Lytechinus pictus: one gene and its partners. Each later gene encodes a partner of the first gene's protein in a complex. Links are inferred from orthologs where the notes say so. Each region holds a gene or a part of one and is shown on either strand. Other genes may lie near its edges.

Region 1 (8,514 bases):
AGAGAAATGAAGTGAAGGTTTGCGGAAACCCCATCGAAGATTAAGAAATTTATTACAAGTTTGAGCTTTTGATCTGTGATGTCATATGCGAGCAGCTGCCCCGTATTTTATGCACCAAAATGTAAACTTTTCAATTTTTTAATCAGTGGTTCATGATTGCTAAAAAAAATCTTTCAGGAGCGGATGTGAAATTATTTGTATGTTGACATACTTAAGGTAGGATAAAACCATTTTCATTTAAAGAAAGTTATATTTTTATTACACCATATATGGGAAAAACTGCTCGCAAATGACGTCACCATTAAAATATAAAATTCTAATAGCTTTTTAAATCTTTGATGGATTCCCTAAAACCCTCACCAATATCATTTTTATTATTTTCTGCTATTTTTACAATAAACTTTATGTCAGGGCGAATTTCCCATTTAATAAATTAAGTACAATACTTGGGATCCAAAGTGTGCTTCAAATTTAATTGAATATTCGAAGAGCGATTTGACATAAGAAGGCCGTGCATGTAAGTCCAGGAAAAATAATAAATACCGACTCAAGTGTTATCAATTTGGTGCAGAAGATTTAAAGTATGATTTAAAAATGTTACCCTTTACATTAGTCCAACATTATAATTCTTATTTTCTTCTCAGAACCTTTCTTATTTAATCTACTCTACATGGAGGGGCTATTGGAATTTTTGACATGGGGGTTTAAGACTGGCAATTTATACCTCTGTCATTTTAACCTCAGCCATTTTTCCCTCTGGCATTTTTACCGCTGCCATTTATACCTCTGCCTTTTTTACCTTTGCCATTTTTACCTCTGCCATTTTTACCTCTGCCATTTTTACCTTTGCCATTTTTACCTTTGCAATTGTTACCGTTGCCATTTTTACCTCTGCCATTTTTACCTTTGCCAATATTACCTTTGCCATTTTTACCTCTGACATTTTTACCTTTGCCATTTTACCTCTGCCATTTTTACCTCGGCCATTTTTACACCGAGCCGGAGAAAAAGTCATACAAATGTACAAAATCTTTTTAAAATTATAATAAGCCAGTTCGTAGTTCCTCTCTGCGCATGATCAAAAGATTCTACGCATGATCAGAGGAAGGTCATTTGTACTAAAGTGACATGGTGGTTTAAAATCTAATGAGATAAGCACCCACTTTGATGTCTTGATTATTCATATATTCTTTTGAATAGTGGTATTCATTTACATCCACAAAAAACAACAACGCGTCCACTCACGAACGACTGGTTTTCACAGTTTGCCAAGTACATTGTCCAACATGCTATGATATGCATTCAAAGTAGGAATGCAACAAATACCTTCATCTGTTCATAAAGTGTTCATTGGTGTGCTATTCTAGTCACCTGGTCTATTAAATTTCCTCATCCTGCTATGTGTAAGGCAAGCTTACGTAATATTTTGCTTTGAAATCTGCCTATCATAATGAAAGAAATGAAAGGTCATTTGACCGAAAATTGTCCATGAGTAACTACGAACTGGTCTATTAACATAAACATTTGTCTTATACAGAGTGAGTCAGAAAAAATGTCCCACTTTTGTAAAGTTGAATTGTTTAAAAGATGAATATTTTATCATTAGTTTCATGATATGTCTTGATAGAGGTATCCTCCAAGTACATTCAGGTACCATTTTCATTTGATCCCGTGCACGCATGACTGAACATCGGACAATCTTTAGAAGACTGTCAGATCTCACTTGCGCCAAGTTACTGGGTGATGAATAAAACAGTGCTTTAGACAAAGACAGTCAGACAGACAGACTGGCATGCTCACACACACACACAAACACACACAACACACATGGTAATAACTGGTTCATAATTTTCTCTTTTCTGATTAAGCATTGATTTTTAGCAAGATCGCTGAATGTTTAAGTGGCAATTCCCGACAATCTTTACACATTCACTACCACCATCATATCATCATCATCATCCTCATTGTCATCATCTTGATCTTGATCTTGATCTTCATCTTCATCATCATCATCAAGTGCACATAAATCCAATATCCTGGTTATGTCTTTTGTTGGTTAACAATGAAAATTTACAATGGATGTCTGTGCTTTTGTTGCACTTGCCTATAAAAGGGCTTGCCTGATTTGGCAGCAGTCACTTGAGCCTCTTTTTCATTGTTGAACCACAATAAACTACCTCAACAAATACAAAAATTCCCTTTTAATTGTTTGTGTTTTTATTCACCGACGTTTGCAGTAATTGTGTGCTTGTGTGTCTGTGTGTGTGTGCGTGTGCTTGTGTGTGCATGTTTGAGTGGGTCTGCCAGTGCGTGTGCATGTGTGTGTGTTTGTGTGTGTATGTACGTGTGTGTGGGTGTGTGTGTGTGTGTTTCAGTCTGTCGGACTGTCTTTGTTCAAAAGAGTGTTTTATTCCCCACCCTGTAACTTGGCGCAAGTGAGATCTGACAGTCTTCTAAAGATTGTCCGCTGTTCAGTCATGCGTGCAGGGGATCAAATGAAAAAGGTACCTGAATGTACTGGGAGGATACCTCTATCAAGACATATCATGAAACTAATGATTAAATATTCATATTTTAAACAATTCAGCTTTACAAAAGTGGGACATTTTTTCTGACTCACTCTGTAGAAGGCAAGTAATATGGCATCAGCATTGGCTGTTATACCACTATTCAATTAACAGCTCAAAATATTGAATTTCGAGCATAACTTATTTAGAAACGAAGCACAATTTTTTTGCAAAATTATACAAGGTTGGAGCGGATTTCTGTTTTTTCATAATTAAATAGCTGTTTCATTTTTAGTGTATTTGGTCTTTCAGTGTAATATATTCTTCTTTCTTCAGCAAAAGAAGGACAAACGAATAGATAGTGAAATTCCGGCATCACCAATTGAAGGTTAATTGCATAATATATACAAAGCCTCATGTTTCTTTGAAAGTTTTCATATCTTCCTGAGGCAGTAGGAAGTCGATGATTTCCACAACGAAATCTACAAAAAGTGATTCTCTTTTTTTATTCATATTGATGAGGTAACTTTCTAGACGAAGATTTGAATATTCTGTAGTTAACCATACACTGAGAGTTTTCGTTTATAATTAACGTACGTAATTTTGCAACTGTGAATCCTTTATTCGTAGATCTACATGCAGCTTGTTTTACCCAATATCTGCTCGAGGAATCAGAAATGTCAAGTAAATTCGTCATGCCCAATCTATCAAGAGTTTGCTTTATCTTCGTTAACCACCTTGTCTTATATATACCTTGATCAGAAAGTACCTTTACAATCTCGTAAATCATACCAGACATTTTCGTTTTACTATTGTGAACTAATCCATACCAGAAGTTTACCATTCTATTCTCAATATATTTCTCTAATTTGAATCTTCCAAGTTCGCCTAACACCATGCAGTTTGCCGTTGATTTATTAGCTTTAAGAATCTGCTTGCAAAATATGATCATGTGGAACACTTCTAGATCTCTAATCACATCAAAACCCAATATTTCTAACACATATTTTAGAGGAGTATCGGTAAAACAAGTTGATCAAAATGACTCAATTTGGATATCCACTAGTAAATCAAGATGATAAATCTTATTCAACATGCTATATATTGTTCTTCTTGCTTGATTCAGTTGTTTAGCTTGAGCTTTTCGAAATGAATTATTATAATTGAAGGTAATTCCAAGATATACATAGTCTTCTACTACTTCAAGAGCCTGGTCTTTAAATGTAAAAGAACCAGTTTTTCTCACTTTGAGAATATAACACTTATCGTCTTGTCTATATTCACATTTAAATACCATCTTTTACAATAATCTGATACTGCATTGAGCGCAAATTGTGGTTCTTGTTCATATTGTGTCCCCTTTCCAAAAAGTATAGGGGCACGTCCCCTTGTCCCCCTGGGATTTCCGCCAATGCGCCCTGCACACATCAACTCACCCTCTCAAAACGCACACCCACGCGCACGTATGCCTTTGTATTTAGTTTTCTGCTGGTAAATAAATGAAGGAAAAGGAGAGAGAGAGACAGAAAGAGAGAATTAGGGATGGGGGGCCGGCACAGTACCCCCCACTTTTTGAAGCACTGAAAAGGTGCCCTTTTTACGCAAGAAAAATGCCCCCTCACGAACGTGTACTGTGCCCCTTTTATCGGAAGAGAACCCATTTAGGTGTTACCAAGTGCCCTTTCTCGTAGAAGTTCCCATTTTTTTCTTCAAAAAATGCCCCCTCACGAACGTGTTCTGTGCCCCTAGCACCTGAGAAGGACATGTTTTATGTCATCTGCATGAGCAATTGCTCCCTTGCCTTCTTGTATATCCTTTCTTGAATCAGTACCCCTTTTTACCAAAGAAACGTGCCCCTTTAACAAACATGTCCTGTGTCCCTTTCACTTGAGAAGGATCCGTTTTATGCCGTTAGCAAGTGCCCCTTTACCTTCTCAGGGGTGCCCTTTCTCGTATCAAGGCCCCTATTAATTTTTACCTAAGAAAAGTGGCACGAACGTGTTCTAGAACTGTTCACCTTTCACCTGTGAAGGACCTGTTTTATGTCTTAACGAGTGCCCCTTTGCCTTTCTCATAGGTGCATGCCTGTTCTTCATATCAGATAAGTTGTCCTGAAAACGATTTTTTTTTCCCCGTGCTCGATGAGCTCCCGGTTTATTTATTTAACGCCGTACTGCCGGGCGTTGTGCTTCCTAAATTCTGCAAGTGCATAATCAGGGATATTGCATATTCCTGGCATAATGAATAAAAAACTTGTAAAAATAATTCCACGTGCCTTAAGCTTCATGAGTCATGTGAGTGGTGGGGTAGATAGGCAGTGGCGTACCTAGGATTTTCCACAGGGGGGCAAATTCGTCCGCCAAAAAATTTGACAAGCAAAAAAACAAAAACTAGGTCTTCAACCACAAATAAAGGATCTCGTCCGCCAAAAAATTTGACAAGCAAAAAAAAAAAGGTCTTCAACCACTAATAAAGGATTTCGTACCAGAAAAAAATGTTAAAAGCAAAAAAAAAAAAAAAAAGTCTTCAAGACTCGTCAGGGGGGGGGGGGCAGGGATATGTCCCTTGCATGGGTTGTGACTCGTCAGGGGGGGGTACAGTCTGCCCCCTCTGCCCCCCCGTAGGTACGGTAGTGTAGATAGGCCTAAGTCATTTTTTTTATTTGTTTTAAGATCATGGCCGTACGCATGGGGGGGGGGGCGGCCCCTCCGAATTTCGCGAGCTCGTCAAAGACTGAACTGAAAATACGTATTTCCAGTTCAGTGATTAAGGCCCTCTACGTTCGTTAGCGGGAAATCAACATGGCTCCTTACAGGTGTTAGAGTCGAACCAAGAACGATTTGTATGATCAATCCATACTAATCTTGTCAATTATAGAGGTAGATATAAACAATCTTCTGAAAATAATTAGATAGAATGTCGATGAATATGAAAAATTAATTTTTGTTTCAATATTGTGGATGATAAAGTGTTTCAAACGATGTTTTGAAAGGCGAATGTAACGCTAACGTCTATGTTTTGCATTGATAGGCGTGCATGTAGGCTTTTCAATTTTAGTTGGGAGCTCCCCCGCCGAGCGTCGGTGGAGTTCGGGTACGGTGCGCAGGTGCGCTGCATGGACAATGATACTTATCTGGTCTATACCTTCCTGTACTAGACTGATCTTGAGGTTGAGCTGTAACGCATAACAACAAGGTTTATCGTAGACAGCTGGCAGCCGTCTGTTTCGAGGAGTTTTTTAACATTTTTTTTTTTTTTATTTCTCCTCGTACACGGCTCGGAGTCAGACGGCTCGCTATCGTGCAGCCACTGTGGCGCTAATGCAGTTTCGCATCGGCCGATTAATACCAGCATACGTCATACCTCATCAGAGTCATCACCAATACTTGTTCCCAAATGTCACTCATGATAAGTCTCACAGTCACATTTCGAGGTCAATATACCCACCTCTTTTCCAAATATTGCGATCGGGAACGGCTGTATTTCACTATTTTCAGCTTTGATCTCGATGTCGTTCGAATCCTCACTCCTCAGTCTCAGACATCACTTCGCGGATCGCCTGGATTCGCCGTGCGCCGTAATGTTGATATGGACTGAAGTTAGCAACCTAATCATGCGAACATGTGGCGAACATCCTGCCAGCAGAGTGCAGGCGAATCTTTTGGTTGTTTAACTTCAGTCCATATCATCCAGAGTGTCAGGTAGTAATTTTGACACTCTGATGGAATGATTTTTTTTAATTTGAAATTCAGATCTCATTGTAAAATTGTGACAAAGTGAAACAAATAGTGCCAAGCAGAAATTAAATTTTCCGATAGTAAACACATGGGGAAATGGCAATCTCGACACACACAAAAATAAGGATTTGCAATTTATCTCTCAATCCTCATTTCTAATGATCCTATAAACTTGTCTTTAGCATCAAAAGAAGCCCCTGAGTTCTTTTTCCATACGGGTACTGTACATCTTAAATGAGTTGAAAATCAATTCAGATCACATTTTTAAAATTTGCCCCCAACATTGTGCCATTCTTTCCACAAAATCAGCCCGTTTTATGCCAACACTTTTCAGTGTGGCTTTCAGACACCCAAAATTTGCTTTCGTGATGCAATATGGCAGGATGGAAGAATCCTAGAGCTATTTCTCCCTCCATGATTGTAGATCTACTTCTGTGTGGTCTAGGCGCATGGCCAATGTGGGAGACGATCTCCCATATTGAATACTTGCTTTGCAAAAGTACAAAAGAAACAACACCAACAAGAATATAATTTTTTCCACCCAGAATTCAGTTGGTCCGAATCCAGCTCATAAATTTTATGAGAATCAAAGCTCGACCAGGAAGGGCCAGGTAACCTGGAGCAACTGAAACTGATAATTATGGACAGGCAAAAATTCAATGTTTGACCTATTTCTGTTTTTTAAAGAGTGTTCCCATTTTTGGAAATTTTTAGTAATTCCCATTTTTTCGGTCAAAGTTGGCAGCTATGTAGCTGTCATGAATCTGTTTCCTGCTTTCAGTTAGACAGAGTTGTATATAGTTGTAAAGACTTGCTCAGAGAATGAGCGACTTTTAATCAATCCGTCTAATTCCCAGCAGATATACATCTCCTTTGTGGGCTGAGGACAGGCCTGAACCATGTTTCTCTATGCACTAACTCTTCAGCGAGCCACAGGCATCGTCCAGTGCATACATGGAAACTTTGCTGGCACCAAGCAGCAAGAGTTGGTGGTCGGACGGGGTAAACTCCTGGAGTTGATCAAGATAGACCCCAACACTGGCAAGCTCTACACTGTACTGAGTCATGAGATATTTGGGATCATCAGGACATTAATGCCTTTCAGGCTAACAGGAGGAAGTAAAGGTCAGTATAGCACTGGTTCAATCAGCAATCTTCGCAAGGACTGTCACACCATTGGTTTGCCAATATATGCCATGTGAAGCGGCTTTTTTTGTAAATATATCATCAATCTGAATTTCAGAAACTATTCCAGGCCATAAATGATATTTTAAGACCGAGGCCACTTTTTGAAAGGGTACAATTTTATATTTCAGCATATATTGAGAAAATTGTAAAGGGTAGAAAAATATCAAAGGCCAAGACCTTGGATTAATTTAAGCCTACATGTAGTTATTCAGTCACAAAAATTTCAGTTATTAGTGATTGAATATTCTATGAATTATTTTAAAATCAAGTTAAATCTGTTAATATATTACAAACTGTGCTTCCTATGTAATCTCATGATAATTTTCTATGTGAGTTATGGTTCTTGCAACAAATGTGGTGTGTAAGTGTACCAACTTTTCAGCCAAGGTCCATTGATAACGTTTGTTACCTTATATACAAATTATGTTATCGATGACTTGACAATGAGTAACATTAATCCCAATACTAGATTTGTTTAAAGTTTGATGTCATGAATGGTTTCTGTTTTGGCCCACTGGTGTCACCAATGCAAGCGTTTAATGTTATCCTTCTAGTTCATTTATTATATTTTTAACTGTTTTAACTGTTTTAAAGAAAATAACAAAGTATGTGTGATGATTTTAGAGGTGTTTAGTTGATATTTGTCTTCTGACAACATTCTTTGGTTTTAATTGATTAAGAATAAGAAGCACTAGTTGTCATTTCAAGAATTCTGCCAGCCCAGACAATTTGTTATTCTTTGACAGTTATCGTAGTCACAGTCAAAAGCTACTGATTTTCAGTACCAAGGATTTCACTTCTTTAGTCAGAGCTGAAACTTTAGTCAGTGCTGACAACTTTCATTTAAACCTGTAAGTGTCCGACTGTTGCTATGCAAACTGTCAGAAAATGATAACTATTCAGTGTTGTAAACTTTCATTTAAATGTCAATAGAATTCAATAGAATGCTGATTATCTCAAAATTCAGTAAGTTGGTATCCATACTGCTGATTGATGCATGTTTTAACTTTGTCTCATTTTAACATTGTTCCATTTGTATGTTTCTTCTTTGACCAGATTTCATAGTTGTTGGATCAGACTCT
Region 2 (7,802 bases), on another chromosome or scaffold:
GGGTGTTTTATAAAGCTGTTCGTAAGTTAAGAGCGACTTTAAGAACGATTTGAGATCCTTTCTTGTGGTAAATTGTATATACATTGGCGATGGTTTATCGCGTAAGAAGTGTTCACCAGTCGTTCTTTAAGTCGCTCTTAACTTGTGAACAGCTTTATGAAACGGCCCCCAGTTATAATGACAATTCAGTGATATGAAAATTAGAGAGTCGATGATGTCACTCACTCACTATTGCTTTTGCATTTTTACTGTTTGAATTATACAACATTTCAATTTTTACGAATTTAACAAATAGGACCCTCTTGTTTGAACTACAAAATGTTAAAACAATGTAATCCCACATGGTCAGGGAGGAATGATTTTTTTTCATAAAAATATTTCATATTTCACATAATAAAATACAAAAAAAAAATGAGTGATGTCATCGCCCTAATTTGCATACCGACAAGGATTTGCATATAACCACGGTTTTGTGAAATTAAGCAAACATTTTAAACGTCATTACTTTCTTCTTTTAGATCGGATTTTGATGAAATTTTCAGCGTTATGCTTGTCTGATTTTCTCTTACTATTCAAAGCAGCTTTTTGTTGGGGTGCATGACTTTTCCTTTAAATCACTTCCATTGAAACATGTACAAATTATTTGGGATTTTTTATTGTTTGTGGCAGTTTTACTTTTTGAATTAAAAAGAGAAAGATTTTACCAACTTTATATCATGAGAACAGGAATAAATCCTTCATATCTACTCAGAACAATTGAAATCAAATCAATGATATCAAGTCAATCTTGCAAAACCAAAGATGAACATGTAGCCTACATTATATGCGACCCCTACTCAACTTGTATGTATGAGTAGACTTTGTTAATAGTAAAACAAATTTCTTGTTTCTTTATGTCAAAATTCAAAAGTGTTTTAGAGGGCAGTTTTCAAGAAAGTAAAGGAACTCTGAACTTATTAGGCTGAATCTCAACATGATAGATTTTTGCCAGGATGGGTTATAACCATGGATCCTATACTAGAAAAAGCCTGTTCAGACATTCTGAGTAGGATTGTGCTTCATTCAGCCAGTTCACTGAAAAAGGTTCAGTAATTAAGTACATATGTACATTTATTTTAAAATATGTATGAATGTTCTTGGCAAAGGGCACTAACATGACTAAATCATAACAACTATACATTTTAGTGCCCTTTGCCAAAATGATTTATGTTTGTACATTTTTAAGTGAATATTTTGAATTGAGTACAATAAAAGTAAAAATCGGCAACGTCCCTGCTTACCCAATACACCGATATTTTAACATTTCTATTCCTTTACATGTTCCTGTATTCAAATAAATAGGCCGACACAGTATATAAGGGAACCCGTTTTCTTATTTTAGCAAAACTGCTGCTAAAATACTAGTTTTCCAGTTTATTGTAAACGAAATCATTTAAATCAACTTGCAAGTTTGTCAAAACTTTGCAAGCCAATGCTTTGAAACAGTCAAATAGTTCCAACTATGGCTCAAAGAAGAACTTAAAGGAATTGTCCAGGCTGGAGAAATTATGATACATGTATCAATAAATAAAGTAAAATTCACAGAGTAAAATACTGAAATTTGATCAAAATCGGATAACAAATAACAAAGTTATTGAATTTTAAAGATTTCTTTTCGATTATTCCGGTAAAACATTTCTAGGCATGTCTTCATGAATATCCGTTAGTTGGGCTTATGATGGCATATCTCCACTTGTTCTTTTGATTATGATTATGTGAAATTAGGTTTATTAAAAAGGAATTTACCAAGAACTAAAAACAATTGAATTGGCAACTAATTAAGTACATTAGTTATTTATTGCCGCAACTTATTTCATCATAATGGAGACACATTATTTACACATGTATAAAAAAAATGAAACAATTATGATTTCATGTTATAAGAAAAAGGAAAGAGGGGATGTGACATCATCAACCCACCAAATGAACATTCATGACGATGTAAATATAACTCTTTTCACAAAATATTGATAAACTTTAAAATACAATAACTTTGTTATTTGTCATCCAATTTTGGTGAAATTTTCATAATTTTACTCTATTTATTTAGATCTGAATATTTTCAGCCCGGTCCATTCCTTTAAGGTTGATACAAACAAAAATAAATGCAGTCGGTCAAAGCTTTGAAAGCCAATGCTTTGAAACAGTCGTTCCAACTGTGGCTCAAAGAACAACTTGGGGTTGAAACAAACAAAAGATAAATGCAGTTTTCTTTAACGTGTATGATCTTCAATCCTTGACCTGAAAATAAAATTTAAAAAATATATCTCTTTGGAGAACTTGAATCTCTGAGTCATGGAATTCTTCCAAATAAACTGATCCTCATTAAATACCAAGAGCTTTGAAAATGAGCACCAACTTTGCATGTTTGCAGCATTAGTTGTACCAAGACAGTTCCTTTGAACCAATAAGTAGAAGCTCTCTACATGTACTTTAGACACAGCAGAAAATGTCAGCTTCTTTATGGCTTTAATATTTTCTATAAATTATATTTTGACTGGATTTGATTATGAAATAGTTAAGAATAATTTTGGTGGTGAAATGCATAATTTTAAAATTGATGTCAGTGTGAAGGGTTATATTTTGGGTGTTTGCACTTTGTCAAAAAAAAATTGTTAGAAAAAATCAGATTGAAATTTAAAAAAATCTGATTTAAATCAAATAGATCCGATTTAGGTTTATATAAAAAAATTGCCAACATTTTCATTCAGCATACTTTTGAGTTTGAAAGTACCTGATTATCACATACATTATGGCTGGCATAAAAACACTTTTAATACAAAGGTGAACGAATGTTGCTGGGCATGACAACTTACACAAGGCTAATTAGGGCTAATTAATATCAAACTGAGCTAACATAACAGTAAAACAGGTTGAATACAGTAGCATGGAGAAGTGACTACAAATACAAGGTCCAATCAAGAAACTATGGTTAGAAGTTAATTCCAAACAGGAACAAAATAAAACATAGCTATCCTGTTTGATTAAAAGTATGATAGTTTACAAACTTACAATCGTGAAATTTAAGATTTTCATTTTGTAAACTATCATATTTAATATTTCAGTTCTGAATTTTATGAGAATGGTGTTTTTGAGTTTGATATTTTGGGTTTTAAGTACCATATGATAAATGTTTTAAGGAATACTGGTTTAATTTACAAACTTAAGCTTAGTTTGCTTCATAAAAATCTGATAACTTTATACCATTCCATGATTTTCTCTTATTTAAAATATTGCAATACCAATGTAACCTCATATGAATTGGACTCAATATTCAAAAGAAATGTTTAAGAATAATTACCTATTCTAATAGCACCATCCGCACCTTTATTTAATAAGCGAGAACTCACAATATTTATCTATAAGTTCAAGAAGAGGTAGTTGTTACCCATGTAGTTTTCAGATATTTTTCAATGCAATAATCAAGTTCATAACCATAATACCCGTTCTTCCAATAAATTTCATTTATGGTCTATTAGGTCTATAGTCACGAAGCTGAGTTATGTAGGTCCCAAACAATGGAATGAGATTCCCCAAATAATAACTAATTCACAATTTATATATTCTTTTAGAAAACAGTATTCAAATTTTCTAGTAAATTATTATTAATTCTCACACATGATATCAATGCATACTTGTAACGTATCTACCCCCCTCAACTCGTGTTTTTTTCTCCTTTTTATATTCACTATTAACTATAATGATATGATATTCTGTTTTGTATTAATGTTGTTTTGTTTTTACTATGTTTTGGCGAGCCTCACATGTTTCTTATTACCTTCATGGGAAGCCACGCAATTTATTTTTATTATCTAATCACATTATTTGATGTTTCCTTGTATTTTTATCCTATTTGCGAAATAAAGATTGAATTGAATTGAATATATATATAGAGCTATGATAAAACCATCCACTATTTTGGGCCATGGAGCAAGGTTTTGGCCATACATGCAGCTGCTCAGTGGAATGTCATATGTAAACACTGTCTGATGGCCTGAGCGAGGGTATTACATAATAACCCTGCTCATGGCTCTGTGGTTGAAGTAGGGGATTATCTATACTCCTCAGTGGTCATAAAATTTGGTTTACAGACAGATGAAGTTATCCAATGAAAGCTCTCTGAAATTTTGGGTGGGTGGGACTTATTTTGACCGTGGGAACAAGATTTCCAAAGAAGAAGCAGACTCTGAAATGGCTCGCTTCGCTCGCCCTTTCAAGCTGGTTTGCTTCGCAAACCAGCTGCAGATCCCACTTCACGAGCCATTCAGAGTCTGCATAGCAGACTACGTTAAGCGTACTTTGTCGTCAAAAGTCCCTACCTTTCATATTAATATTGCGTGCGTGCGCTGCAGCTGCATGCTCGATCTAGCTTCCGTACTGTATCTTTGCTATCATCAACGTCAACATGGCGATGCAAGCAGCCCGCCGTCAAAATGTGAGGAATAATTTTAATATCAGTTTTAAGTAATTTGTTTGAATTAAGATGGTCAATAGATAGGGTCTAATTCTGGAATATTAGAGAATGAGTTACGTTTGAGAAAGTGAACGTAATTACTGAGGAGAATCGAATGACGGTTTCAGACACGCTAGTTAGAATTGTGTGAGGCTAAGTAAGGTACTTATGTACCGCCTACCGGTACGGTACACTACCGTAGGCCGTATACCCAGTTGTTGTGTGTCCGGACAGGTTGTGTGTCCGGACGATCAATTTTAGAAAGTCATTTGGAAAAATTTTCAGTGAAGTTCCATCAATTTTTATTACAAAATGTTAGGAAATATAATAGAGAACAAAATAGAAGATGATTACGACTATCGAATTCATATTTTTAGTGCAATCCAAAGACAAAAAAGAAGGCCTCAAAAATATAAACTGTCCGGACACCCAACCCCCCATCCTACTCCGTAGTTAGTCATGTCTGAATAATGCGATATTTCTTGCACGCAACGTCAGTACCGGATTTCACGTCTCCGTGTGACAAGTTAGGCCTACCTCAAAGCGATAAGAACCGCAATCATAATGTATCATGGGATCGAAAAGGGGGCAAGTTAGCTAGCTCTGCACATACGCACGCGCACTGCGGTCTCTGCCCCCTTTTTTAATCCTATCATCATGCTTTGTGGTGCAGCTTCTGCACTGCTGATATTTGCCAACAACAACATGGGTCATGCCCAGTTCGCAATAAATAGGTATGGCAAGTCGGCGCAGTCTCCCTTGACTGCGCACACGCGTTTCTGCGCGATTCTAGTTAAAGAAGATACGGAACGAGCACGAACTTTACACATGCAATACATAGACAGGTATTCATGAAAATATCCGACTCAAAATGGTGGAAAAATAATGAATTTAGGGCATTTCATGTGACGGCCTCAAAATACAGCCTTTCTCATCAAAATCCCCAAATCGTGTGCAAAGTGAATGAGTGCGCAGACATGGGGTACCATTTTTTTCAATCTGAAAATGACTGCCCGAGCCGAGGTTTTTAAGAAAATCCTATATTTTCTTATATTTTCTTTCATTTTTTAATGAGAAATTTGGTGCACTTATGATAATATAAGGAACTTTATTAACTGAAAGATTTTGTGAAATAAGAAGAAATTCATGTTAAATCTTAACTCAAATTGTTAGGTTCGCAGACTTGGGACCCACCATTATACTCCCTAGGCCTAGTCTTGAGGACGCAATGATGATGACTTTAAAAATAATGAAATATACTTCTTCATCATTGACGTCTTGACACTTCCGGTCGCAGAAGAGAAGGACCAAAACAAAGATGGATTTCCCTCGGAAATCCATCTTTTGAAACAAAAATCACTTGAATTCTATGAATTTCATTAATTTTTACACCTTCCTTTTTTTTTAGCGTCGACCCTTGAACAGCTTATGTATGACGTACTTCCGGGTAGCGATGCCGTTCTGATGAATAATCTATAGATAAAAAAAATTATTTCGCAAATGTTAAAATATAATACTAATAATTATTTATAATCACGTAATAAATTTTAGTATTTGTGAAATAATCATTTTTGTCTCACCTGCATAGCAGAGTGAGACTATAGGCGCCGCTTTTCCGACGGCGGCGGCGACGGCGACGGCGGCGGCGGCGGCGACGGCGGCGGCGACGGCGGCGGCGGCGTCAACACCAAATCTTAACCTGAGGTTAAGTTTTTGAAATGACAGCATAACTTAGAAAGTATATGGACCTAGTTCATGAAACTTGGCCATAATGTTAATCAAGTATTACTGAACATCCTGCCTGAGTTTCATGTCACATGACCAAGGTCAAAGGTCATTTAGGGTCAATGAACTTAGACCATGTTGGGGGAATCAACATCAAAATCTTAACCTAAGGTTAAGTTTTTGAAATGTCATCATAACTTAGAAAATATATGGACCTAGTTCATGAAACTTATACATAAGGTTAATCAAGTATCACTGAACATCCTGCATGAGTTTCACGTCACATGACCAAGGTCAAAGGTCATTTAGGGTCAATGAACTTTGGCCGAATTGGGGGTATCTGTTGAATTACCATCATAACTTTGAAAGTTTATGGATCTGATTCATGAAACTTGGACATAATAGTAATCAAGTATTACTGAACATCCTGTGCAAGTTTCAGGTCACATGATCAAGGTCAAAGGTCATTCAGGGTCAATGAACTTTGGCCAAATTGGGGTATTTGTTGAATTACAGCCATAAATTTTAAAGTTTGTTGGTCTAGTTCATAAAACTTGGACATAATAGTAATCAAGTATCACTGAACATCCTGTGCGAGTTTCAGGTCACATGATCAAGGTCAAAGGTCATGTAAGGTCAAAGAACTTTGGCCACGTTGGGGGTATTTGTTGAATTGCCATCATATCTCTATAAACTGAAAACCAACCAGACACCAGTGTACCTATCAGATCTTCTGGAGTTGAAGAGATCGTGTAGACCCGGTCTTCGTTCAGGGAATGTTCACCAGCTCCAACAAGTTAGAGTGAAAAGGTCCTGGGGTGACAGATCTTTTTCCGTTGCTGGTCCCCGTTTGTGGAATTCAATCCCATCGGACATTAAGTCGTGCCAGTCAAGAGAGCTATTCCACAGCAAATTGAAGACTTACCTCATGAGGGAAGCATTTCCTTAACTGTTGTGTGATAAGGCCATTTTTTATTTTTTGACTACCAACTTAACTGATTGTGTATTTTTTCTTCTCAGTTTGTTCATTTTTATGTATTTATTGATTTCTGTTTTATATAAGTAGTTAATTGTGCGCCTTGAGTGTCATCGACAGATATGTGCGCTATACAAATCTTTAATTATTATTATTATTATTATTATTATTATTAAGTGTATTGGTCTAGTTCATAAAACGTGGAAATAAGAGTAACCAAGTATCACTGAACATCTTGTGCGAGTTATAGTAGTTTTCAAAATCAGCACTGCGGCTATATTGAATCGCGTGATGCAGGTGAGACGGCCAGAGGCATTCCACTTGTTATCTATAAATTGTTCGTCAAAACGGCATTGCTAGCGTCATACATAACTAAGCGGTTCAAGGGTCAACGCTATTGTACTTACGTTGTTTACATGTGGATCAAGGGGTCTACTCGGCATCAGTTGGGTAAGAAACCTTAATTTTTTCACATTTTTATATCATAATTTTAAAAACCTTCCTACGCATTAGGAGTAGGAAGGTGTAAAAATCAATGAAATTCATAAAATTCAAGTGATTTTTGTTTCAAAAGATGGATTTCTGAGGGAAATCCATCTTTGTTTTGGT
Region 3 (8,297 bases), on another chromosome or scaffold:
GAAAATTTCATCAAAATCTGATGTAAAGATATTAAGTTATGACATTTTTAAAGTTTTGCTTGACCACACACTTATATGTACATCCCAGTAGGCATGCAAACTATTTCTTTTTATTCTACTAGATGAATTATTCAAATTTTCTCTTCATTGTCAAGTGAAACCAAGATTAGTCCCCTCCCCCCCCCCCTCCCCGAACATGTGGGATTTGCATTATTTTAATACTATAATTTTGGTTTAATCAAGTTGGCCCTCAATGTCAAATCTGTAAAAAATGAAATGTTGTACAATTCAAGCAACAAAAACAAAAGAAATAGTGAAGGACGTCATTGACTGTCTTATTTGCATGTCACTGATCTGTGCATATAACTGTGTTGTGAAAAATAAGCCAAATCTAAAAATGTCATAACATTCCTATTTTACAACCGATTTTGATGAAATTTTCAGCATTATGCTCTGTTGATTTTTTTCTATTAATTCAAATCAAATTTTTTCTGGGGAGGACTTGACCTTTAAAATCAAAACTTATATGTACATGTGTAGTAGACAGAGCAGTTTATTTAGTGCATTACTTTTTAAGGTAGATTGAAATTCTTTACATAATGATACGAAGATTGAATAGACTGTTTACGTTTTCTTAACAATGCATCAGAAACTCTGAATGAAAATAGATAAACAATGGATTAAAAAAAATTTCATGAAGATTTTAAACTCTACAGCTAAAGCATGAATATCACAAGTAATTTGTCAAATATATTTCTGAAAGAAATTAAAGGATGATTCTATAAAATAGTAATATCAAACAAATGATAATAGCTTGCAATGTATTTATAGTGCTTACTACAGAAATGTATCTTAGGCCCTATAAAAATAGGTTGAAAAAAAGGATGTTCAGCAAAAATGATATTTTATAATTTAAATTTGATAAATTAAGAAGCTGCATATGCTAAGAAAAATGACTGTTTAGTTAACAAAGAGGTTTTGAAATTGAAATCATGAGGCTTCAAACATTGATTGTTGATTAAAACGAAATTGGTATAAAATATACCTGAATCATAAGAAAGACCAAGTCCATCTCATGCCAAACTTAATTAAACGAAAAAAATGTTGCTTATACCTCTCGTGTCCCTGCTTATACATTAGCCCATCATGTGTGTCATTTATATCCTGGAATTCACGTCCCAAACCTTTTGTCAAACAAGAAAAATGTTGTGATTTTGGGATTTAAGAAGCAAGATGGTCATTTGATCACGAATGATAAATCGGAATGCATGAATACATCCTATCAACCAAGCTACCATATTTTTATCACAAGTGTCCACTTTCATGCACAGATAATCCAATGGAATGCTTAATACCCGAAGCACACCGTCCTTTTCTATTGACAACAGAATGCAGGCAGGAATTCATCAAAGAGAGGAGCAACGGATACCTGCAATAAGGATCAAAACAAAATGAATATTAGAAAATTTGCTCTTCGGTATTCTTTCTGGAAATATATCTTCGTTGATCAAGCAATTAATAAATCCTTTACCTGAATAAGCAAAATGCATTTTTTTCTATTTTTCATTTCTCCTGCAATAGGAAAGTTAGCAGATTATCTATATTTTTTTTCTTCAGTGAAATCTTTGAAATTGTCTTATTTCACATATTAAGAGTATAAAATTAGAAAAAAATTTGACCAACAACATTGAAACTTGATAAAAGACAGTAAAAGACATGTAGTAGGGGGCCAATATATTTTTTCTTCATTATCACATACCTCTAGTAGGTGTTGAATACAGAGAATATCACATTGAAAACTGAGTGAGTATACCAACCTATACATTTACAGAAGACCTGTTCTTCCTGCTAAGTACAGGGCTTGTTCCCCATCAGGACTCCTGATGTAGACATGGCCTGGATTGGCCCCAATCGATAGCACCTATGACTCTTGGAAACCTGAAGCAATCATCAAATTGTCGCTGGGTGGTTTGAATTTCTCGTCATTGGAAACTTTATTCACTGTTACTCCTTGCTATTGCCTCAGAAAAATCTTTGATGATTCTGCACACGGATGACTGTGATATAGTTGCTTTGTCTGCTTGCATCTTCTAAAAGGTACCTTTAGTTATCGAATGATAAGTGATGTTATGTAATTGGTTTATTGATATGAAAGCCAATTGATACTTTACCATTTACGTTTGCAAACATTGTGCTTCTGTTATGACCTGATGTTTATGATGCACTGGAACTGCTTAAAGAGATTTTTCTTTGATTCATTAAAAAAAAAACTCTACTGCAATAACAATCCATGCAAAATGGAGAATATCTCTCTAGCTGAAATGACATACCAATATTTCTTTTTGAGTGGTTATAAATCATCCTTCATGATAATTTCCCACTTGAATATGACATATTTGTATTAAAAAATGTTGCTACATTGTAAAAAATGAGAGAAAAATAAAATCCCCACCTATTTCCAACCCAAAGGGTTACGTGTTTCATTCCGACAAAAACCTTTCTGTGAAATACCCCCAACACTCCCCCTCCCATGTAAGGGGTTACTAGTACTCCTGGCTGAAAGCAGAAACAAAAATCGTACAATTTGGATGATTAATAATGAATATTAGGTTTTGCATTAATTATTTCTGTAAAACATGTGCATGTTTTCATGAATATGCAAGAAATAGCCTGATGATGTCACATCCACACATTTTCCACACATGAATGTACAAGGGTTCCATGATATTTGCTCTGGCGACAATTACTCAATGGAAAATCTGCATGCTAAGCAAAACATGAAACTTAATTTTCATGACTAGATACTTCCAATCCTTGATCCTTACATTATTCTGAACTCGCAATAACTATCTTAAATATATAATCAGCAGTCAACCCCATTTTTACATTCCTGGAGGAAAAAATTAATGATTATAATTTCAGATCACTAGAGAACAAGTGGGGATATGAATATTGCATATGAGATACACAGAACTGTTTCCCCCAAGTTATGTAAAACTTTAAAACTGAATCAATTCATAATTCTCCATCCAATATTGATGGTTTTTGCTAGTCGAATTGTTCTTTATCAAAATCTCATCATTTTTGGCCTGGAAAATCACTTTCATAGAACATAATTTGACCCCCCCCCCCCATTACCCTCTGCTTTATAGTTTGCACATGAAAACTCACCAATGACATAAAAGAAAGTCCTGTCAAAACCTGTAACATGACAGGCAATGTGTGGTTCTCTCTGTTGGTACCCCACTCTGAGAGGTTCATCCTCGTAGTATTCAAATGGATTCTTCCTGTCTCTTAATCCATGCTGTGGTCTTTCTATGTGTTGCTGAATCTGCATGGAAGTTGGAAGATTGTGTTGAAGAGTCACCATGAATGGGCAATTTACTCTTTGAATTTCATTTAATTCAAAAGTGTTTAAAATGAGGAACAGAATGTGAAAGATTATACAGAAATCCTTAAAAAAAGATAGGATAAAAATTCTAATTGACATGAGTAGCTTTTCTATTTACCTACTTGTAAAAGTGAAGAAGAAAAACCTGCCAATTGTTGCTGATCATCATCATTGATCAAACCACGCACGTCTTAGAGATGCTTCTATGAAAACTGATTAACTGAATCACTTTCAATTGGCTTTAATAAAGAAGGCAAGGCACTAATTTTATGGAACTTTGTTTACACAAATAGAGGTTATTGCTTGCGAGTGATTTTCGAATAACATATTTTCATGAATCTTCATCAAAGTCTCATTAAACCTTTTTTTCTACCCCCCCCCCCCCCGGCATTCATCAGACTGACAATGTTTTCTTTCTCTCTTTTAAATAAATATTCAACAAAATGTCAGGATTAATTGGAGATCAACAAGCCTTAAAAAAAAAGCTAGTGACCAGTAGACAAATATATATGTTAATAACACACAAGCAAGGTCCCCCCCCCTCTTCTTTTTTGTCAATTACTATGACAAGAATGAAAAAGTAACATACATGTCACATGATACATTTACAATTACATGATGAATTCAAATCCCGGAAATAATATTTTATTTAAGAAGGCCATTTTAATGACATTTAATTTTTTTTAAATATGAATTGATAAGGCATACCTCACTCTCTTGCAAGACGGCACAGCAGTTCAAAATTGTGAGCCATGTTTGCCTTGTCTTGATTGATCACAATCTGCCGAGTATGTATGGTCTGTTGCTGATATGGAAGAAAAAAAAATAATGAAAAAAATATTCATTCATCAATCATACTGCAATGTCAAAGTATAAAAAAAAATAATAAAGCAGCTACAAATGTAGATTGATAAAATCCGCTGTTTCAGAGGAGTCTTGTAACATTTTCTGATTTTTTTTTTGTGGGAGGGGATGCTGCGGAGCCACATGAAGTCTCAGGGGAGCATATCTCTGACAGAAATAAACCTATTTATCGGTCTACTACAAATGTAGAGGACTTAAGATCAAATGCACTTGTCTGTGGTCTCATGTGAATTTAACATTGAAAGGACACCTTGTGAAAAAAAAAATACTTGAAACAAAGAGGGTGGGGTAGAGAAAATAACCCCCAAAAGAGAGAATTTTCAAAGTTAGACCTCAGTTAGATCTACTCAAATTATTAATAAGGCCTAGGATTTCCATTATTTTGTAATGTTTTGACGACACCGTAAATCTAGTATAAGTGATCGCAAATGCGATGCCGAAGGTCAGTAAAACTTAGTTTTAGTAAAAGTAAAATCAGCTCATTTATAGCTGTTGGAGTAAACAGCGGTGAGTGGAACCCAATCTTTTTTTTTTTTAATTTCCAAAAATAATTTAATCAGGGCTTAGTCCACTCATCCTACGAACGAGCCTTAGTCTTACTAGAGAGGTGACCCTTATTATAATATTTTTTTTTACTCCAACGATGTTGTAGGACTAACTCTAACATGGCTACCAGGTAAGCTTCATAGCTTGACCATCTATCCAAGCCAAGGCAAAGCCAGCCCAGAGTAGAATGTCTATACCGGCTCTGTATTTGTAACGTTAGTGTTTAAAAAAAAATTATTTGTAATTGTAATTTGTATTGCTGCTATCCTGCCAGGAGTCCTGGCCTTGCCTTGGCCTTGCTTTAGGCAAAATTAGATGCACAGTAGATTGTGTTGGCAGAGCCAGGAGAAGTGGCAGGGGTATCGTAGACAACAAAAATTTCATGAAAATCACACGAAATCGAGAATCACTCAAAATCACTGCCTGGCATAACTAGTAGTAGTATCGGCCTTTCAATCACGCCTACCTTGCCTGTGTAGTGTACGCTAATTGCGTCTCGCACTGCACTGCACTGCTCATAGATATGAACGCACACAAAAGTACATGGCTGGGACTGAGCAGCTTAGAGACGCGACGATAACAATGATTCAGACCGATTCAGATACCATTTCAAGTTTTCGAGTATACTTTTTGGAAAGTTAAAGCTATCAATAATAGTTACAGATGGAACTGAAGGCTCCGTCATGATTTAAGCTCCAAAAATTATGTAATTTACTTACAATCTCGGTGGAAGTCGTGAAATATGAAGCTTTAGATAAGCCGATCACACCAAATCTCGTCTCTGTCCAAAAAACTTTTTTCTTGCATGCAGCAAACTTTTCCGCAATCGAAATGCTGCTCTCTGATTGGTTAAAACAGTGGACTAACTTTAACCCACCGATTTAGTCCACCCCAAAGAGCTGACTAAGTCGTGACGTCAAATGACGCGTTTTATACCCCGGTATAACTTTAGTCGACCTTTGTGAATCGCAAAAGTTAGCCCCTAGGTGCTAACTTTAGTCCATGGATTAAAATGACGTCAAATGACGCGTTTTATACCCCGGGTATAACTTTAGTCCACCTTTGTGAATTCGGGCCAAAAAGATTAATTGGAAGATGATTAACCCTTGTCTAATTTAGGAGATACTTTTGCATTTTCTCAACCAGCTTGCTAGCAAGTACAAATTGCATATGGTTGGAAAGATGAAAGAGTACTTTAAAAATTGATACCATTCCAGAAACTGTATGTGATGCTGTTCCTGATTAAAGCCAAGTATTTTGAATTAATCATTACCCACTCAAAATTGGCAACATGATAAAATCACAATTTAAAAATGCAAATTGGCAACTCTTCAATACATGTATCCCTTCATAATTGATTTAGACTCGTGTCATATTTCCATATTTCATGTTCGAAGTATAATGAATAGGAAATTCATGATTGTTGCCAATTTAACGAGCATAGGAAGATTAAAGATAAATTCCAGTTGTGGGAACGATCTCAAAATGACTTTCTACAGAATTTAATATAATGATCACCAAAGTGTCTGTTTGTATGAATATTAAATATGTGCCAAAGGATTCTGGAAGAAATTGTGTAATTGCTGAGAAATAAGCGCGGATTCGGTCACTTCCGTTGGGTCTTTATTCCTGCAATAATAATACACTGTCTCACGTGTGCCTATCTGTGTTGGCGATCTTCAGTGTGATCGTTTTTTAGCTAGATATTATGATTTCACAAAGTTCAGTTTATGTAACTGTACCAGATTTAGATCCACGATGATATATCAATACACAGGGTTGTTTGATTTAAATCATGTCGATTTAAATCATGATTTAAATCGCGATTTAAATCACTTGATTTTTTTCAAAAAAATCACTGATTTAAATCAACTTTTATGAAAAAAATTAGTTTTCTCTATTTTCTCTTCTTCTTAACAGATACTTTCAATGTAATCATTTTCATTTCTGTTCCACATGCTTTAGAGATACTTTAAAAGAATGATACACCCTCATGGAGTCTGATTTAACACCACTGTTTTATTTTCAAATTGTAAAACAAGCAAAACTGATGAAAACAACAAGTTTCTAACGAAGTAATGATAAATAACTCTCTGTATGTACACCAAACTGTTAAATCTTCAATAAAATAATATATAAAATCTACAAAGGTGCTCAAAGTCCACAACTTGGATACTATTACAAAACAGCTGAACTACTTGTATGTACCTCCTTCTTGTTACTATTAATACCCATTCTTTAAATTACTTAAGTTGAAGGCATATGTGTACATTGCACTTTTCATGGTGTGTTTTCATCCGCTTCACAATCCCCATCAACTCAAAACCACATAGTTTGCACTTTGCTCTGCATCCAGTTGCAGATTTTGATGGCAGTTTCTCAAAAAAGTACCAAATGGGGTCTGATTTTCTTCCAGACATGCTTATTCATGCATCACAAAAGCTGCAAAACCCTTGTTTATTAGCTATTACCAGCTGATAGTTGGGAAGTCCCCCATGTGATAGTTTTAGGAAATATTCCTAGCTAAAATCCCCCATGTGATAATTCTAGGAAATATTCCCAGCTAGAATTCCCAAGGGCAGTATAGGAACCCTAACAGGCCTTTAATAATGTCAATTTTGTTGGAAATTCTAAAGTTCTTTGAGTACTTCATGCATTGGAGTAACACTTCGGATGTTTTGAACTGACTGATATAAAAATTTCAAGAGTTTAAATGTATACATAATACATAACATTACTTGGGCTTCCATAAAATTTCCCTCTCTATAATGCAAATAAATTAAAAAAAAAAAAAAAAATTACCTGTATATAAGTGGATTATTGTGTCAAATAGTACAATACACAATGTTCAAAAGACTACTTGACCACTATTATTGGTGTAAAACAGTTTAAATATAGTTTAAAACTTGTTAAGTGTGACCATTATTTTTCGTTGGAAAAAAATCAAAAAAATCTGATTTAAATCATAAAAATCCGATTTAAATAAAAAAAAATCAAATTTTTTTGATTTTTTTAAAAAAATCAAAAAAATCAACAACCCTGTCAATACATTACCTTGGTTTTACAGACTTTCTCACGAAATCAGTGTTTTACTGCAACTACGTTCATTTAGCTTTAATTTGAACTTATGAAAGCTCTAGTGGTCTGAAAATGTTTTTCTATTATGACCGGTAAACTAACTATATTGTTCAATCTGTGTAGGATTGCACGTCACAGGCATATCCACGGTCCAGAGATTCTCGACGAAGACAATAAGGAGGAAGAAGAGAACGATATCAGTCATCGAAGCCAGGACCGTGGTCGCAGGCTGCACGAGCGGCGCGAGGAGAGCTCCGACGATGAAATTGTCGCGGAAAGAGAAACTGAGGTGTATTCGAGGAGCTTCCGGGAAGTGGACCGCCGGGAAGCAGCGCCCAGCAAGGTGTATCGGATGGAGGTGGAGGAGAGTTCGTCAGACGAGGAGGAGCTCGATGAGGAGGAGATCGAGCGGAGGAGG

What was found.
Region 2: splicing factor 3B subunit 3-like (region 1) and splicing factor 3B subunit 6-like share a complex: the UniProt entries of both Drosophila melanogaster proteins name them as parts of the splicing factor SF3B complex. The link is inferred for Lytechinus pictus from reciprocal best matches to the Drosophila melanogaster genes Sf3b3 and Sf3b6.
Region 3: splicing factor 3B subunit 3-like (region 1) and microfibrillar-associated protein 1-like share a complex: the UniProt entries of both Drosophila melanogaster proteins name them as parts of the spliceosome B complex. The link is inferred for Lytechinus pictus from reciprocal best matches to the Drosophila melanogaster genes Sf3b3 and Mfap1.

Annotation. Positions count from the first base shown.
Region 1 is NC_087246.1:63,654,920-63,663,433, reverse strand, and holds the start of splicing factor 3B subunit 3-like, read left to right. Parts: upstream 1-5,273; 5' UTR 5,274-5,386; intron 5,387-7,101; exon of another isoform or gene 7,102-7,104; 5' UTR 7,105-7,143; coding exon 7,144-7,369; intron 7,370-8,488; coding exon 8,489-8,514. UniProt on the Drosophila melanogaster protein: Involved in pre-mRNA splicing as a component of the splicing factor SF3B complex, a constituent of the spliceosome. SF3B complex is required for 'A' complex assembly formed by the stable binding of U2 snRNP to the branchpoint sequence (BPS) in pre-mRNA.
Region 2 is NC_087245.1:7,929,238-7,937,039, reverse strand, and holds the start of splicing factor 3B subunit 6-like, read left to right. Parts: upstream 1-4,204; 5' UTR 4,205-4,444; coding exon 4,445-4,474; intron 4,475-7,802. UniProt on the Drosophila melanogaster protein: Involved in pre-mRNA splicing as a component of the splicing factor SF3B complex. SF3B complex is required for 'A' complex assembly formed by the stable binding of U2 snRNP to the branchpoint sequence (BPS) in pre-mRNA.
Region 3 is NC_087250.1:22,582,820-22,591,116, forward strand, and holds the start of microfibrillar-associated protein 1-like, read left to right. Parts: upstream 1-4,920; coding exon 4,921-4,931; intron 4,932-8,002; coding exon 8,003-8,297. UniProt on the Drosophila melanogaster protein: Required for pre-mRNA splicing.